Macaca mulatta: one gene and its partners. The protein of the gene in region 3 interacts with the protein of the main gene of each other region in a pairwise test. Links are inferred from orthologs where the notes say so. Each region holds a gene or a part of one and is shown on either strand. Other genes may lie near its edges.

Evidence for each region.
Region 1: the proteins of ZMYND19 (region 3) and SAXO1 interact in binary tests that used the Homo sapiens proteins (3 or more experiments, as listed by UniProt). The two-hybrid records come from large-scale screens. The link is inferred for Macaca mulatta from reciprocal best matches to the Homo sapiens genes ZMYND19 and SAXO1.
Region 2: the proteins of ZMYND19 (region 3) and LZTS2 interact in binary tests that used the Homo sapiens proteins (3 or more experiments, as listed by UniProt). The two-hybrid records come from large-scale screens. The link is inferred for Macaca mulatta from reciprocal best matches to the Homo sapiens genes ZMYND19 and LZTS2.

Annotation. Positions count from the first base shown.
Region 1 is NC_133420.1:80,266,768-80,269,995, forward strand, and holds the end of SAXO1 (stabilizer of axonemal microtubules 1), read left to right. Parts: intron 1-1,304; coding exon 1,305-2,308; 3' UTR 2,309-2,706; downstream 2,707-3,228. UniProt on the Homo sapiens protein: May play a role in the regulation of cilium length. Stabilizes microtubules at low temperature.
Region 2 is NC_133414.1:113,066,951-113,070,599, reverse strand, and holds part of LZTS2 (leucine zipper putative tumor suppressor 2), read right to left. Parts: intron 3,550-3,649; coding exon 2,890-3,549; intron 1,578-2,889; coding exon 1,320-1,577; intron 566-1,319; coding exon 1-565. UniProt on the Homo sapiens protein: Negative regulator of katanin-mediated microtubule severing and release from the centrosome. Required for central spindle formation and the completion of cytokinesis.
Region 3 is NC_133420.1:4,866,588-4,869,934, reverse strand, and holds part of ZMYND19 (zinc finger MYND domain-containing protein 19), read right to left. Parts: intron 2,940-3,347; coding exon 2,799-2,939; intron 1-2,798. UniProt on the Homo sapiens protein: May be involved as a regulatory molecule in GPR24/MCH-R1 signaling.

The DNA.
Region 1 (3,228 bases), about 75 Mb from region 3:
AGAATTCCCTATAGATTTAGAGGGCTCACTAGCGCTACTTTAAACCTGGTAATTTATGGGGCCCAGTGGGGCAACCTAGGTCTTGGATGTCAGTCAAGTATTTTGAAAGAATACCAGCAGTGCCAAGGCAGTTGAATCACATGGTTTGTCGTCCCATTTTTCTTACCTAGACGTTCAGTCTTAGTGCTGGCCCTGAGGGTCTGTGTGATAAAGTCAGTTTCAAAGGCTTACAGTGCTGTCTGAAGACAGTGTCTGGTCCTCAAGATGCCTGGAGGCCATCTCTACTGCATATTTCCTTGGAGTCCAGGCCTCCCTTTGTGTTGGCAGTTCTAGCCCCACAGCAGAGGTTCCTCTTGAGATGGACATCTAGAATGGCCAATTCTTTTCATTCTTCAAACATTCTGAAGTTCTTTTCCTCCTGCAAATCTTCCCTTTATTTTTTTCTTTCACCTTTACTCTATCTGGAAATATAATGCCCTTAAGTGTGTGATATGAGGTATCAGAAGAACATGGCTTTGGAGTCAACAATACGGTTTAAATTCCAACTTAACTCGCTAGCCATGTGACTTTCGGGCAAGTTTCTTAGCTCCTCTGAGCCTTGTTTTAGAAATCTGTAGAATGGAGAGAATCATGCCCATCACAAAGGGTTATTGTGAAGATGAAACAAGATCATGTATGGAAAGACTTGAGCACAATTGACTGACATGTAGTTGGTATTCCTTAATTGTTAGAACCAGAGAGTAGAGTGGGTCAGATCGTGGGCTCTGGGTCTGAATTTGCATTTGTGCTTTTTCACTTCTAGCCAAGTGAGCTGGGACAAATTCTCTCATTTTCTGTGCATCTGTTTCTGCATCTATAAAACTGGCATTGATAGTACCCACCTTATTAGGACAGTCTGAAGATTAAGTGAGTTGATATATAAAGCACTTAGAACACTGCCTGTTATGTAATAAGTTTTATACAAGTGGCAGCCACTTTTCTCTCACCAGCCAATACAATGCCCTATTCCTTTGGAGTAGCATATTTGATATATGTGGATTAGATGTGAGGATTACAGGGTCACAGTGGGCTGTCACCCCACAGATGACCAGGTAGGCCTGGTTCGTCTGGCTGGTGGCCCGCCAGTGGTGGGTTGTGAATTGCCTATCCCACTATATCAAGTGGTAGCAGGGATGTGCTCTGTCGTTCCTTTGTCTCAAAGACTACTTCATTGGAGACTGGCTTATGACCTTCGGGCTCTGTAGAATATATGCAAGTTGGTTGACTTGATTTATTATTAATTACCTCTTCTGCTTTAATTTCAGCTGATTATTTGCCTTGGAACCAACCAAGGCGACAGCCACTTCGTCTGGAACACAAATACCAGCCAGCATCAGTCAGGTTTGATAATAGGACCACACACCAGGACGATTACCCCATAAAAGGCCTTGTGAAGACTGTGAGCTGTAAACCTCTGGCCATGCCAAAGCTCTGTAACATCCCCTTGGAGGATGTGACTAACTACAAGATGAGCTACGTGGCCCACCCCGTGGAGAAGCGCTTTGTGCACGAAGCAGAGAAGTTCAGGCCCTGTGAAATCCCCTTTGAAAGCCTTACCACTCATAAACAATCCTATCGGGGCCTGATGGGTGAGCCTGCTAAGAGCTTGAAACCTCTAGCCAGGCCCCCTGGGCTAGACATGCCTTTCTCTAACACCACTGAGTTTCGAGATAAGTACCAAGCTTGGCCAACGCCCCAGATGTTCTCCAAAGCTCCCATCACCTACGTCCCTCCTGAAGACAGCATGGATCTTCTGACAACAGTGCAGGCCCATTACACATACCCTAAGGGTGTCCCAGCTCGGTCCTGCCGACCTGCACCTCAGATTAGGAAAAGCGGTCGCTTTGAAGGCTCTTCCACCACCAAGGATGACTACAAGCAGTGGTCCAGCATGCGCACAGAGCCAGTCAAGCCCATTCCCCAGCTGGACTTTCCCACCGAGCCCTTGGACTGCCTGACCACCACTCGGGCCCACTATGTGCCCCACCCGCCTATCAATACCAAAAGCTGTAAGCCTCATTGGTCTGGCCCTCGAGGAAATGTCCCTGTGGAAGGCCAGACCACCTACACCATCAGCTTTACTCCCAAGGAAATGAGCAGGTGCCTAGCTTCATATCCTGAGCCTCCTGGCTACACCTTTGAGGAAGTGGATGCTTTGGGGCACAGGATATACAAGCCGGTTTCCCAGGCAGGCTCTCAGCAGAGCAGCCATCTTTCTGTGGATGATTCAGAAAACCCCAGCCAGAGGAAGTTGGAAGTGTCAGCCTGATTTTGAAAAATTGTAATTTAGAAATTACACAGTACTTTTAAAAGCAGACAACTGAGAATTATTTGTTGGACAAAAAAAGAATTCCCTAAAATGACAGAAAAAAACAAAAAACAAAAAAAACCTTCACCACTTCCAGAGCACTTGAATAAAATGAGAATTACTTGACTCAGGGAAAATGACATTTAATCACCGGCTAATTAACGCCCCTTAACTTCTCCTTTACTGCATCCCCACTCCGTTTCAGGTTCTTTACTTTGTGCTTATGGAATCAAAATTGGTCTCTGAGGTTTTCTCTAATCCAGATGTATTTTATTAATTTAATCATTGTATGAACGGACATAATGATTAACCCTTGCCAAGTATGAAGCACCAAAGAATAAATTTTATTTTGGGGGGAATGAATCTGTAGCTCTGTGTGTTTACACCCATGTGCTGGCTGTGCAGACATTAGTCTGTATTGCTTGGGACCTTTGGGAAATTTTACGTTAGCATCCCCACTGTGTGTCAGTATTGGTGGAGGTGCCTTGGGCCTGGTCTGGTGTCTTGTTTTGGGTTCTCTGTGTGCAGGGCTGCTTCACAAAGCATCCTTCTACCTCTTCACTGCATGACATACCAGCAAGAATACTGCTGTTCGATGGGGTGTGGATGTCTTTGGTCACAGGTGATGGAGGGAAAGAAAGGGAGGCAGGGATGCATGAACCTACCAGACCTCTCCCCAACCCCAAGCCAGTACAGGCTATGATTCCAGGGAGAGGAGGGAGAAAAAGCAGCCTTGGCAAGCAGGCAGTCAACACCTGGTCCTTGAGCTGTGAGCAAAAGCTGTGGGCTCTTCTAAATGCTCAGAGCCTGGAAGAAATTGCCCCAGGCTGGCCTGGTTTCTGGAGAGCCTGGATGTGCTTGTCCTAAAATGACAGCTGTGA
Region 2 (3,649 bases), on a different chromosome or scaffold from region 3:
GCTGCCGGTTGCGCCGGTACATCTGGATGTAGTTGTGCTGCAGCTGCTTCTGGTAGCGGATCACCTGCTCCTTCTCTGCCTGCCAGGCCAGCCGCTCCCCTTCAAAGCTGTCCCGCTGCTCCTCACCCCGCCGCCGCTCCCGCTGCAGCTCCACCCGCAATCGCTCCACCTGGGCCCGCAAGCTGCCCCCAACCCCGGCTGCTGCCCGCTGCACTTTGGCCTCATCACTCTCTGCCAGGAGGAATGGGTCAGCGGTGGCAGGTGGCACAGCGGGCTCCCGGAGTCCAGCCGCCTCAGCATCCAACTGCCCAGCTTTCTCCCGCAGCCGCTCGGCTTCCTGGCGGTGTCGCTGCAGCTCCTGGGAACAGGCTTCCAGCTCCAGCTCCCGAGCTCGGGCGGCCTCCTGTAGACCCCGCGCACGGCCCTCACTGACCCGCAGGGTAGCACGGGCCTCCCGCAGTGCCACCCGCAGGGCCACCAGCTCGCTGCCCTTCTGCACCAGCTCTGCCTGAGACTCCTTCAGCTGCTGCTTCAGCAGGGAGATCTCGCCTGATTTCTGGCACACCTGGGGGTGGGAGGCAGTGGGGAAGGATGGTGAGACAGGTTCTCCTGGGGGGACAGGCCCTGTGCATCATGCTGGGCATTCGGGAGGAGAGTCCATCTTTATCCCCATTTTATAGATGGAGACACTGAGGCAAGTCTAGTGACATGTCCAAGGTCATAGAGTGAAGATGTGGCTTAAGTGGAAAGCAGACATAGATTTTTTTGCTTCAAAGTTGGTGTCTTCAAAGCATCACGAGACACTGTGGAAGTACCACCGAGCCCTGGGGACTGGGTGCTGGCAGGTGCTGCAGGAGTGGGGGCAATGGAGGGCAGTACCCAGGTGTCTACTGGAGAGGTACTACAGTGACTTGGTTAAGAGCTCAGATATTGGAGCCAGACTGCCTGGGTTCAGATTTGGCACTCCAGTCTTTCTGGGCCTCAGTTTACTCATCTCTAAAATGGGGAGACTAGTGGTAGCCCCCTCAGTGTTGTTATAAGGATGAAATGATCTGTCCCATGTAACATGCTTAGAAGAGTGCCTCCACACCACAAACACCACATTCTTACTACTGGCTGGAGCGTGGCTTTGTGCCACTAGACAAGGCCAACAAGGAGACCCTCCTCCCAGAAAGGAACAGAGGAGAACTTCATCTCACGGAGGTGAGGAAGGGGAGGACCTCTGGGGGTGGCAGGCTGAGGGAGGGTGCGGCTGGGCCCCTTTTTCCAGGGTTTCTCCCTGTGTGACCCTGCTCCCTGCCCCTCCTGGTCTGGCCCACCTCCCACTTGGTCTCCTCAAGCCTTGGCCCGAGCTCCCGCTGCTCCCGCTCCAAGGTGGCGCAGCGCCGCTCCAGCTGTTCACGCTCCTGCAGCAGCTGTGCAAAGTCATCCTGCAATTGCCGCTTCTCCTGCTGCAGCTGGAACACCTGCAGCTGCAGCAGCTGTTGGGCCCGCTGTGCCCGCTGTGCCTGGGCTGCACAGTCCTCTCGCAGGGCCTCGCGCTCTCGCTGCCAGTGCCGCTGCCGCTCCTCGTATGCCTGCAGGCGAGAAGACAGACCCAGCTCCTGGGCAGTTTTCCCAACTCCCCACTCAGTGTCTGCCTGGCGGCCCACTTCTGAGGGCTCAGGAAGGGTGTATTCCATCAAACAACAATAGTAATTGCAACAATACTAACTGCTTTTATAATGATCATAGAAACAAACACAAGAGCAAGCAGACCGGGCTCGGTGCCTCACGCCTGTAATCCCAGCATCTTGGGAAGCCGAGGTGGGTGGATCACTTAAGCTCCGGAGTTTGAGACCAGCCTAGGCAACACAGCAAAACCTTGCCTCTCCAAAGAACAAAAATTAGCTTGGTGTGGTGGCGTGTGCCTGTAGTTTCAGCTACTTGGGAGGCTGGGGTGGGAGGACTGCTTGAGTCCAGGAGGTTGAGGCTACAAGGAGCCGAAATCGCGCCACTGCACTCTAGCCTGGGTGAGAGAATGAGACCCTGTCTCAAAAAAAAAAAAAAAGCACTTGGCCGGGTGCAGTGGCTCAGGCCTGTAATCCCAGCAGTTTGGGAGGCCGAGGCGGGTGCCTCACTTGAGGCTAGGGGTTCGAAACCAGCTTGGCCAACATGGTGGGAACCCCGTCTCTACTAAAAATTCAAAAAAAAAAAAAAAGCAAGCATTTATGTATAGCATTTCCTAGATACCAGGCATTAGTCTAAGCACTTTACACCTTTTGCCTTATTTAATCCTCATAACAATCCTATGAAGCTAGAAATATCCCTGTTATAGATGAAGAAATAGAGGCTGAATAAAGTTAAGCAACTTGCTCAAGTCCAAAAACTGGTATTTAGCAGTGGGAGGTTTGAATCCATGCACTCTGACTCCTTTCCACCCCACAAGTTTTGTTTTTTGTTTCTTGTTTTGAGATACAGTCTTGCTCTGTTACCCAAGGCTAGAGTGCAATGGCAAAATGTCAGCTCACTGTAACCTCCTCCTCCTGGGCTCAAGTGATCCTCCTACCTCAGCCTCCCAAATAGCTGGGACTACAGGTACATGCCACCACACTCAGCTAATTTATTTTTAGGAGAGATGGGGTTTCCCCATGTTGCCCAGGCTGGTCTCAAACTCCCGAGCTCAAGCAATCCGCCCACCTCGGCCTCCCAAAGTGCTGGGATTACAGATGTGAGCCACCACGTCTGGCTATTCCACAAATTAAACCAGACAACTGGTGGGGAGGGCAGGGGGGTCACAACTACAACTACCCAACCCCTCTTCCCTGCTAAAATGGAAATGCCCCTTTCATTCCCCAGGCCTTGGGATGTCCTGCCATGCCCCTTCCCCATCATTGCCTCTGACCACACCTGGCACATGGTAGCCTCATTCTCGTCCAGACTGTCCCGCAGCTGCTGAAGCTCTGCCTCCCGCTCTCGGAGCTTTCCTTCCAGGACACAGTGCAGCAGGGCCTCGTCGGAAGGAGGTGGAGGCGGGGGTGGTGGTGAGCGCTCCCCACAGGAGCTGCTGTCAGGGGAGGCCCGGGTACCACTGCCCAAAAGCCCGGCAGCCACACGGCCCCCCAGGGAGCCTGTGCTCTTGCTGGAGGAGGACCGGCCACTGTCTGAGTGGGAGGGCCCAGTAGGGACCCCTCGGGCTGGCCCAGGCAGTGCCCCTCGCCCAGAGCCATGGGAAGGCAGGTGCCCGCCTGGGGAGCTGGTGGTTGGCTCGGCACCTCCGGTGCTGTAGGTGGGCAGGCTGGACAGTGAGTTTCGGCCAGAGTCGGATAGCGTCCCTGATGGGCAGCCACTGGCCCAGCCACTAAATGCCAGGGGTTTGTCAGCAGCTGAAGAGGAGGAGGAAGAAGAGGAGGAGGAGGCAGGGCCCCCAAACAGCTGTGTCAGGCTGCCCTGGCTCCCAGACAGCCCGGTGGCCCGAGGACCCATGAAGCTAGGCAGGGACGGAGCCCCTCGAGGTTTGGGCAGCACTGGCTTGAAGGCTGTTGGGCGGATCAGGATCTTCTCCATGTTCTGAAATGAGGTGCCATGTGACAGTGGAGATGAGCTGCCCAATCTTGCAGAACCCTTATGACACTCCCTGCCCTCCCATCTGGGGTCCCCAATGCCCATA
Region 3 (3,347 bases):
CTCGGAGAGGAGCCGGGAGTGGGGGCGCAGAGCTGGAGGCAGCAGCATCCCTGGCTCTCCACATTTCAGTCAGGATACCAAAACGTACCCTATTTTGTTTCAGCCAAATTGAGCTGTTTCTGTTTCTTGCAACCCAAAGTTCCGGCTAACATAATCCCCGAAAGAAAAAAAAATCCCATCCAACAATCATAAGAGGATTGGCGTCACTCACAAGCAGTATGAGAGAAGGGTCAAAACTCTAATATCAGAGCAGGGACCGGGCATGGTGGTGCACACCCGTTATCTCAGCTACTCAAAAGGCTGAGGCGGGGCCAGGCGTGGTGGCTCACACCTGTAATGCCAGCACTGTGGGAGGCTGAGGCAGGCGGATCATCTGAGGTCAAGAGTTCAAGACAGCCTGGCCAACATGCCGAAATCCTGTCTCTACTAAAAATACAAACGTTAGCCAGGCGTGGTGGCGGGCACCTGTAGTCCCAGCTACTAGGAAGGCTGAGGCAGAACTGCTTGAACCAGGCAGGCAGAAGCTGCAGCAAGCCAAGATCGCGCCACTGCACTCCAGCCTGGGCGACGGAGCCAAACTCCGTCTCAAAAAAAAAAAAAAAAAAAAAAAGGCCGGGCGCGGTGGCTCGAGCCTGTAATCCCAGCACTTTGGGAGGCCGAGACGGGCGCATCACGAGGTCAGGAGATCGAGACCATCCTGGCTAACACGGTGAAACCCCGTCTCTACTAAAAAATGCAAAAAACTAGCCGGGCGAGGTGTTGGGCGCCTGTAGTCCCAGCTACTCGGGAGGCTGAGGCAGGAGAATGGCGTAAACCCCGGAGGCGGAGCTTGCAGTGAGCTGAGATCCGGCCACTGCACTCCAGCCTGGGGGACAGAGCGAGACTCCGTCTCAAAAAAAAAAAAAAAAAAAAAAGTGCTGAGGCAGGAGGATTTCCTGAAGCCAGGAGTTTGAGACCAGCCTGGGCAACACAGTGAGACCCATCTGTAAAATTAATTAATTACATTAAATAAACAGAGCAGGGAACAAAACCACTAGCCCAACAAGAACGAGAGACACCGCAGGCTCTGCCTTCATCCTGAGAGGCCCAGTGAGGAGGGGATGGGGGAGACTTGCAGGACTCCCTCCAGGGTGGCAGGAACAGCAGTTTGGGGGTGGCATTTTGGAGACCTGGGGACTGTCCCCACATCACCAACCAGTGTCTCAGGTGCTCCCACTGTTTCCACCTCGGCTGCACGGGGCTCTAGCATGACCCTGAGGTGACAACTGCAAAGATTCTACCCACAGCCACCAACCATCACCAAGCCCAAAACACTAAACCTTACCAGCGTTGCTGATAACCATCTGCTAGGGCAGTTCGCACTGCTTGCACCAGGAAAGGCTGCCCAGAGGCTTGAGGACATGCCCAGAAGCCCCAGGGCGACTGGGGAACATGTCAGCGAAGCATGTGTGGCTGGGGACTCTCTGGCTCATCTGGGTTCCCAACCCCCATCCTGCTGGTCCCTTGGCTCTTCCCAAGGGCTCCATGAAGTTCACAGCCTGGCTGATTCTAGGGCCAGCAGGAACTGCCCTCCCACGTGGGAAGCCCATGCAAAGCACTGCTTTCAGGATCACAGGCAAGTGGGGGGCCAAGGGCTGAGCCCTGAACCACACATTCTCTGCTTTAAACTTTTGCTTAACGAAAACCGTTTAGCAAAAGAACACAACAAAAAGACCCATCTGTGTGCACAGAAAGGAATCCTGAGATGAGGAGAGAAGGGAGGAATCCTGAGGTGAGCAGAGAAGGAAGGAATCCCGAGGTGAGGAGAGAAGGAAGGAATCCCGAGGTGAGGAGAGAAGGAAGGAATCCCGAGGTGAGGAGAGAAGGAAGGAATCCTGAGGTGAGGAGAGAAGGGAGGAATCCTGAGGTGAGCAGAGAAGGGAGGATTCCTGAGGTGAGCAGAGAAGGAAGGAATCCTGAGGTGAGGAGAGAAGGAAGGAATCCTGAGGTGAGGAGAGAAGGGAAGAATCCTGGGGTGAGAAGGAAGGAATTCTGAGGTGAGGAGAGAAGGAAAGAATCTTGAGGTGAGGAGAGAAGGGAGGAATCCTGAGGTGAGGAGAGAAGGGAGGAATCCTGAGGTGAGCAGAGAAGAATCCTGAGATGAGGAGAGAAGAATCCTGAGGTGAGGAGAGAAGGGAGGAATCCTGGGGTGAGGAGAGAAGGGAGGAATCCTGGGGTGAGGAGAGAAGGGAGGAATCCTGGGGTGAGGAGAGAAGGGAGGAATCCTGGGGTGAGGAGAGAAGGGAGGAATCCTGGGGTGAGGAGAGAAGGGAGGAATCCTGGGGTGAGGAGAGAATCCTGAGGTGAGGAGAGAAGAATCCTGAGGTGAGGAGAGAAGGGAAGAATCCTGAGGTGAGGAGAGAAGGGAGGAATCTTGGGGTGAGAAGGGAGGAATCCTGAGGTGAGAAGGCTGATGCCTCCCGGGGTGTGGGGCACAAGCCCTGCTCACACCAAGTCCCAGCGCGGGCCCTGCCCTGGAGCAGGCAGCCCTTCTCCCCGCTTTGTCATGCCAGCTAAAGGGAGGTTCCCAGAGCCAATTATCAGAAGAGCAATGCAAAAACACATACCAAGATCCTTCACGCTCCCATAAAGAAAAGGAGGATTCCACACTTTGGGGAAAAACAATGAAAGTCCCAAAACACACAGAAGCATCAGGGCTCAGAGGAGGAACACGAGACCCTCTTGGAAACAAGAGCTTTGGAGGTGGCCCTCCTCAAAAGGCACCTCTGCCAGCATCACCGGGCCCTGAGAAGACCCACCTCTGTTTGCTGGAGGTCTCTTCAGCCTTGGGCCGCCAGCCCCACGGCACCAGCTGCAGGTTGTCCAGGCGATTGTCCACAGTCACAGCGTTGAGGTGTACCACCTGGAAGCCCGGGGCCACGCCCCCCCGGTGCCGCTCCCTACAAACAGACAGCAAACCCTGCATCTAACCCTGCATCGCTGCCTCCCACCCTCACAGATAACCAAAGTCCTCCAGGAAGAAACGTCAGCCATGTGATCTGATCAGGCCCCTGCTCCTCTGGAGGAGGGTACCTCAGGCGGAAGCTGCCAAGAGAAACCCAAGCACCTGATCTGTGGCCCAAACAGGACAGGGATACAGGGAGGACCTGGGCCCTGGACTTCGGAGCACAGACAGCCAAGGGTGGAACGTAAAACCACCTGAGCAGATGGCCTGGAGACAGCTCCCCATCTGAGTGGTCCCCACCATGCACACCAGGGGGCTCAGCAAAAAACCAGCAAGGGGAGCAACCACCGTCCCTCCAGAGGCCGCCAGTCCCGGGCAAGCTTCCAGCAGAAAGTCCACTTGG